2 linked regions of the Schizosaccharomyces pombe genome follow. Changing the gene in region 1 together with any one later gene gives a genetic interaction. Each region holds a gene or a part of one and is shown in the gene's direction. Other genes may lie near its edges.

Evidence for each region.
Region 2: mutations in SPOM_SPCC306.07C (region 1) and mug51 together harm fitness more than expected from each alone (negative genetic interaction), as found in Schizosaccharomyces pombe (one large-scale study listed by BioGRID).

The regions. Positions count from the first base shown.
Region 1 is NC_003421.2:419,083-423,012, reverse strand, and holds SPOM_SPCC306.07C (U3 snoRNP-associated Cic1/Utp30 family protein), read left to right. Parts: upstream 1-1,842; 5' UTR 1,843-1,877; coding exon 1,878-1,940; intron 1,941-2,000; coding exon 2,001-2,134; intron 2,135-2,313; exon of another isoform or gene 2,314-2,355; coding exon 2,356-3,013; 3' UTR 3,014-3,384; downstream 3,385-3,930. Other genes in the region: mdh1 (malate dehydrogenase), read left to right, coding at 285-1,310; family protein BIG1, read left to right, coding at 3,540-3,631, 3,694-3,930. UniProt on the Schizosaccharomyces pombe protein: Involved in rRNA-processing and ribosome biosynthesis.
Region 2 is NC_003424.3:4,714,590-4,718,313, forward strand, and holds mug51 (variant protein kinase 19 family protein), read left to right. Parts: upstream 1-1,960; 5' UTR 1,961-1,980; coding exon 1,981-2,901; 3' UTR 2,902-3,124; downstream 3,125-3,724. Other genes in the region: phosphorelay sensor kinase Mak1, read left to right, coding at 1-400; SPOM_SPAC1834.10C (uncharacterized protein), read right to left, coding at 3,125-3,438, 3,500-3,722. UniProt on the Schizosaccharomyces pombe protein: Serine/threonine-protein kinase. Has a role in meiosis.

The DNA.
Region 1 (3,930 bases):
AGGATGTCGAGTAGCTTTGCTTTGCTAGTCAGTCCGTATAAACGTTATGGTGTAGGATGCGGCTACTCATGTTTGCATATATATACATATTTTATTTTCAACAAATTTTTCTAACTTTTGATATAGTGTCTAGTATCTTCTGAAGAAAAGAAGAATCAACCTTTCAACTGGACATTTTCTATTGAAATTTCTTTTACCCCCCTCTCTGTCTCACACACACTCTCTCTATTTTTTTTAAATACCCGTGTTCTCTACTTTGCTTTGCGAATTTGTACCTTTCAAAGATGTTTGCCAAAGTAGCTTTCAAAAACTTTACTCCCCTTAAGAGTATCGCTCCCCGTTCTTTTTCTACGACCTCCAGTCGCGCATTCAAAGTAGCCGTTTTGGGTGCTGGAGGAGGTATTGGCCAGCCTTTGTCAATGCTTTTAAAACTGAACGATAAGGTTAGTGAATTGGCCTTGTTCGATATTAGGGGAGCTCCTGGCGTTGCTGCCGATATTGGACATATCAATACCACTTCCAATGTTGTTGGCTATGCTCCTGATGACAAGGGACTTGAAAAAGCCTTGAACGGTGCTGATGTGGTCATTATTCCTGCTGGTGTTCCCCGTAAGCCCGGAATGACTCGTGATGATCTCTTTGCTACTAACGCATCGATTGTGCGGGACCTTGCTTTTGCAGCAGGTGAAACTTGTCCCGAAGCCAAATATCTCGTTGTCACTAACCCCGTAAACTCTACTGTGCCCATCTTTAAAAAGGCTTTAGAACGTGTTGGCGTTCATCAACCCAAACATTTGTTTGGTGTCACCACACTTGACTCTGTTCGTGCCAGCCGTTTCACCTCTCAAGTCACTAATGGCAAGGCAGAACTTCTTCATATTCCTGTTGTTGGCGGTCATTCCGGTGCGACCATCGTACCTTTGTTGTCCCAAGGCGGTGTTGAATTGACTGGTGAAAAGCGTGACGCACTTATTCACCGTATCCAATTTGGTGGTGATGAGGTTGTAAAGGCGAAGGCTGGTGCTGGAAGTGCGACCTTGTCTATGGCCTATGCCGGTGCTCGTATGGCCTCCTCCGTACTCCGTGCTTTGGCTGGTGAGTCTGGCGTTGAGGAATGCACCTTTGTGGAGTCCCCTCTGTACAAGGATCAAGGAATTGATTTCTTTGCCTCTCGTGTAACTTTGGGTAAGGATGGGGTTGACACCATTCACCCTGTTGGTAAAATCAATGATTATGAGGAGAGCCTTCTTAAGGTAGCTTTGGGTGAGCTGAAAAAGAGCATTACGAAGGGTGAGCAATTTGTAGCATAATCTTTTATGAATAACAGAAATGATATGATATTCTTTATGAATGTTTGTTTTCTCTTGCTTCTTTCGTGTGTGTTATTTCTTTTACTTTAGTCAAAAAGTAATCTGTATACTGCATTCATAGTGTAGGTATGAATGTAAAAATTATGTTACAAGGTTTCCTTTTATATGTGCGGTTGTATAGAAATTTCATATCTATTGAATTCCGTTTTTACAGTCGAATAGATGAGGGTTTTCAATATGCGGAGTTTTGCGAAAAGCGATGATTCAAATTTACAATAACCACTAAAAGAAAATTGTTAAACAAGTAATAGATAATAAGTTTTCCATTCATTCGACATTTGCGGTTCTTGAGTTGTTGGCCTTATTTATCTAGTATCGTTTCAAAGCCATCAATTTAATAAGGCCATGGCATATAAGACAGAACAATTGTTCTTTGATTAATTCTTTACAAACTAAACTTTGATAATGATATGCTACAGAACTTTCAATAGCATTGTAATATTAACTTCTCTGACCAACCCAAGTTGAACTTGCAAAAAGCCATCCATTACTTACATCTTAATAGAAATGGCGATTACAAGTGAAAAAAAGAAAAATTTAAAGTCATTGGATAAAATTGACATAAAATTAGTAAGAAATTTTTTTTTTAATTTCAAATTATCGTGCAATTTACTTACAAATAATCAATAGCTAGAGAAAACAATTAGAGCCCTGCTGCAGCACATTCGATCCTCTGATAAACCTATTGAAAAAGAAAAGGTTTATATTCAGGTTAATACATTCCAACCCGTTGAGAAAGAGTCGCTTAGAAGACCATCAAAAGTGTAAGTGAGCATTAATGATGAATTAAGTTTCCTGAAGTAATAAGATCAACAATAAAATTTTTGTTCTTATAATTACTTAAAACCTTAAGCTTCTACTGCTTGTGCAGAAATAAAGAGGTATTACGGTTTTGTTGATTTGCTAATAAATCAAGCTTGTTGTAACATTCATAGAATCGATGCGTGTTCTTCATTAAAATTATAAGGTACTAACTATTTTACAGATTCCTTCCGCACAGGATAATGCATGTAACAGATGCTTGTTTGATTGTGAAAGATTCACAGCAGACATATCAAGATCTGGTGGAGCAACAAGGGCTTGACGAAGTCATTACAAAAGTACTTAGCATCCCGAGATTGAAATTAAAGTATAAAACAATCCGAGAAAAATGTGAGCTACGAGACTCTCACAACCTTTTTTTGGTTGATGATCGTGTATTAAAATACATCCCCCTATTGATGGGGAAAGTTTTTGAACAGAAAAAAATTAAGCCATTTCCTATTTCTGTTTTACAAAAGAAAGAGACTTTGCGTAATCAAGTTGCTCGTTGTCTTCATTCTACTTATCTTAAGTTATCTGCCGGCACTAGTCATACCATTCTCTGTGGTTTGGCCACTCAAACCAATGAACAATTGTTGGAGAATATTACGACTGTATTGAAGTGTCTGCTAACTAATTTCATTCCGAAAGGGTGGTCTGCAATTGATAATGTTGCGATTAAAACAGCTGACAGTGCCTCTCTGCCAATTTGGACTAGTGACACCAATCTTGCTGCTCATAAAAGACACATTGTGCACATTCAAGATGCAAGACCTCTTAAGAAAAGTGAACTGCGTGCTCAAAAACGGGGTTCTTCTGGAGAAGGCAAAGGGAATAAGTGAAACTGACTTTCGCTTTCCTAAATTGAAAAAAAAAAGTATTTTAAAATAATTACCATTTTTCTACTAAGGCTAGAAGAAAGAGTTTTGACAATGTATTTATAAACACCATTTGACTTTGCCTGTTTCAAATTTCTGATACATTTCTTTCCTTCGATGTTAATTAGTTATGTGAAAAAGCTTTGAGTGGCTGAAAGCAAAAGGGATTTACAAGGGCACGTCTTTTATAAACGGGTATTTTGGACTGAGTAATAAATAAGGGTTTTTGTGTATAACAAGTGTCATGGACTATTGTCATGATTTTGGAACAAAATCTACACCGTCTTGTGTTTTGTAGTATTATTTTTTTCTCGTAAATAACATGTTATATTTACATAATCTATCTGCTTATATGTAGCTTGTTCATTCAGAAGGATTTTAGTACCTTTAGATACTGAAAGTAGTATATAGAGCTATTCTCTACCACTCCAACGCTCAAGCAATTGACAACATCCAAACTTGTCCAAAGTAAAGAAAATTTAGTGTCAAAATGTTTTCTTGGAGTATTTTATTTATAGTTTGCTTTTCTTTAGTATCAGCATTTAAAGATACTTCGCCGATTTTCTTATTTTCTACGAACTCGTATGTCCTGCATCCATCGATGGCATTATACTGTGTAAATTATTTAATCTAACTAAAAACAGCAAACTCCCCAAATCATCCGATGATTCTTCAATATCCACTTGCCCTATGATGTTTTTTGACGCCGCAATTGAGGCACTTTCGACATGCAATACAGCTACCTTAATTATACATCAACCAGGCCTTGAGGTTAATGATTTTCAGTTGGGAGCTTTTAAACATTTAAAGCGTGTTTCTTTGCAATCACCCTATAGCTTACTTCTTCCTTATTCCAAGGAGTCTTTGGACTCACAAGAGTT
Region 2 (3,724 bases), on another chromosome or scaffold:
CGTGTTGTTGGCGGAAGACAACATTATCAATATTAAGGTTATAAGCCGTTACCTTGAAAGAATTGGTGTCAAATTCAAGGTCACCATGGACGGTTTGCAATGTGTTGAAGAATGGAAACGTGAAAAGCCTAATTTTTACTCTCTTATTCTAATGGATTTACAAATGCCTGTTATGGATGGTTACCAGGCATGTAATGAAATTCGTAAATACGAATTGGAAAACGATTACCCTAAAGTTCCTATAGTTGCACTTAGTGCGAATGCTTTACCTCATGTTGTTTTAAGCTGCAAAGATAGTGGTTTTGATTCTTACCTTGCCAAACCTATTACTTTGCAACACTTGTCCTTAATCATATCTGGCATACTTAATTATACGAACCAATCAAAGTTACACAAATGATTTGATATTTAATCTTCACTCACTTTTGCTTGTATTTTTAGAAAGGATCTCACTGTTTTAATGCTTTTATTTTTACTTTATATTTTTTCTTTGTTTTGATCAAAAGCTTATTTAGTGCCTATATTTATTTAAATTGACAACTTCTTATTTTGAATATTTTCCAAAATAATAATTATCTAAGCATCTCATATTTTATTTTATTAACTTTTTAATGCATTTATATTTCCAGCGCCCAGAACCAGTATAATAATATTAAATATCACATATTCCCCTTGTTTAATGTAATGTGTATTTTATTGGCAAGTTAAAAAAAAAATTGTATTGTGTGCTAATCAATCAGTTTTGAAATACAAACCAAATTAAAGTATAGGAAGCAGTCAAATAATCAATTCGAGGATACATTCTCATTGTTAAATGCAAACTTTAGGTAATTCGTAATTAGCTCTTGTAGCTCAGTGGTAGAGCGCTTGCCTAGTAAGCAAGAGGCCCAGTGTTCAAGTCACTGCTGGAGCAAATTTTTTCCCTTACCATAAGCGTAAATTATGCTACACTTCACTATGCATCACTACATATATTTGTTCACTGTGTAGACAGGATTTTTATTCTAATTCCAAGGGGAATGCTATAAGCCAGTCCAGAAAGAAAAAACAAGTTCTTGGTTGGTATCAATACCTTTCGTCGTACAAAGTATATTTAGTTCAATTACTGGCTTTGCCTACAACCGATTAGATAATGCATCAATACTTATACTACGTTATATAGTATTACTATTTTACATGTCAGCAATACTACACTAGCTACATGTAAGCTACGCAGTTTGGTATCTGATTTAAGGATACGTAGAACTGCGGTGAGTTTTCCTTGTGGTCTATTATATTACAATACACAGGTTGTATAAGTAGCAACTGAGTATAGGTATTGTATTAACTGGGTTATAATGTTACCTATCACTAATATAGCTCATAACTGAACTGAGGAACGAGGTTCAGTTGTAACGCTATTTATAATATTTCTAAATAGTTGTTATCAACGGGTATCTATGTATATAGACGGATAGTTACCCGTGATTATCAATAAACGGATCTTAGCTAGTATTCCAACATATGACATATAGTGATACGCAACGTAATGTATCATAGCGTAGTGTAGTATTGCTGACACTACAGTTGTGCAACACTCACTGTATGCCATATGTTAGGATTTTAGTTCAATCCGTGTATTGATAATTGCCGATAACCACCCTTTTATTAATTTAAATAGACTCCCACTGTTATGAACCATTAAAAAGATTATAATGAAGCCACCACTAAACCTCGTTCCTTAGCCCAACTATAAACTATTTTACTAATAGGTTACATTGTAACCCCAAATTTAGAATATCTTTAACGAGTTGCTACTTATTTTCCTGTACTACTGTATAAGTCGCAAGGAAAACTCACTGCAGTTTTTCGTATCGTTAAAATAGTTATTAAACTGCGTAGCTGGCAATTAAAAAATCACTGCGTTAAATGTTGAAGGTGATGAAAACTCGACTAACGAAATTTCTGTAAAGTAAGTTACTTCCCTTACCTACCTTGGCAATGCCTGCTTTATTAAAAATAAATAAAAAGAAGAATGGACAGACTAAAATAGACAGACTGTTTAGCAAAAGGAGAAAGACTTCTTTAGCAATTGAAAAAAACCACTCTAAAGCATCTATGTGTACTGGTCAATCACCATTAAACATCATTTCGTACAATGTTCCTCCATTGATTGTATTAAGAAACAAAACGATACGAAACTCTATAGAAGTTTTAGTTGAGGAAATGTTTCGTGACATTCAAATGCGCCAGCAAACGAATGTTTTAGTTGCACAGTGTCCGCGAATGATTGTGGAAACACAGTTGATAGGCTTATTTCAATCAAACTATACCAGTGTTGCTGAAGAGTTAGAACAATCTATACGTACAGGAGACATCCGTCGTCTTTACCTAAATAGATCTGACAAGTTCTGTGGTGAGTCTTGCTTAATTTTGCGACCTGAGTTTGATAAATTATTTACATACTATTTGTGCAAGTTCAAAGATCAGGAACATATTTATACGCTAATCTTTAAGTTGCATAAACTATTGATTGAAAATCCACTACCTTCCTACACATCCGAGGAGTTGAAATTTAATTGGGAGGAACGACGACTGCTGATTAGTATGGGCTTTCTTATTCTTGCTGGCACTGACTCTTACGGAATCTCATTACCCAACCTTGGCATTTTTACTCATATTTTGCGTAACAGCAGAAACGACTTGTCAAATTATTTAAAAAAGAGGCCGTACCGCGAAGTAATTGAATCGTCACTATATAATCGCAATGTTTCGGTAGCTTGCAAAAAGAAGAACGAAGCATTTTTTGGTTGGAAGTTTCGACTTTGCGACGCCATAGGAGCCGGACTGGTTGATTCGTTTATGACTACTTGTGGAAGAGCATTCCGTTTAACTAAAAAAGGACTTGAAATGAAGTTTTAAAACACTGTCGTCAGATAATTCACACATATTCGAGAACAATCGGATACGGTACTATTTATTCATATCATACACTTTCATTAATCAATCTTTACCATTTTTTTCCTCCCTTTTTTATTCAAAAGATGAGCATTATTTTATTCGTTCTACATTTCAAACTCGATTAAGACCTAAATTACAATACATTGAATTTTATATTAAAAAACTTATATAGTTATTATGATATCTATTTCGAATCGTTTTTGTTTATTTGCTTAGGTTGCTGTGCCTGCCGTATAGCATTAAAAATTGGCGTAGCCAATTCTGGGTGCAAGTAAAAATATCGTTTGGGTACAGTAGTGCTTTCAAGGTTTGCGAATGGACGACTATTGTTGGTATCAGGGATTTTGAGCTTGTCTAAAGTATATTGGGATAAGCGCTTTTTTCCTAGAATATTAAATGTATTTAAAGATAGCACGTTTCCCTTTAACGTTGCCTCCGAAACATAAGATTTAGCAGCCCAGTGAATTATTGCAGTCGACAAACTAGTAGTAGTACATGCTAACATGTTAATAAATTTGCTTTGGAAATTTTGGTAATCCGATTTCTTGATGAAACATACCCAAGAAAACCATCGACATTCTCGTTCCCAAACTTAAACCTCCTGCATCAAGTAAAAGCATCACTGGAGAAATCATATAAGTTAAACCTAATGATCCAATCGAAAACTTTTTAATGTTTCCTATAGCTTTTTTAAGTGGAGCATCATATACAGCTGCTAGACTAAATGATGTTGAAGCAAACCAGCGTCTTGCACCAAGTAGTATTTCGGAGGGCATATTCATTT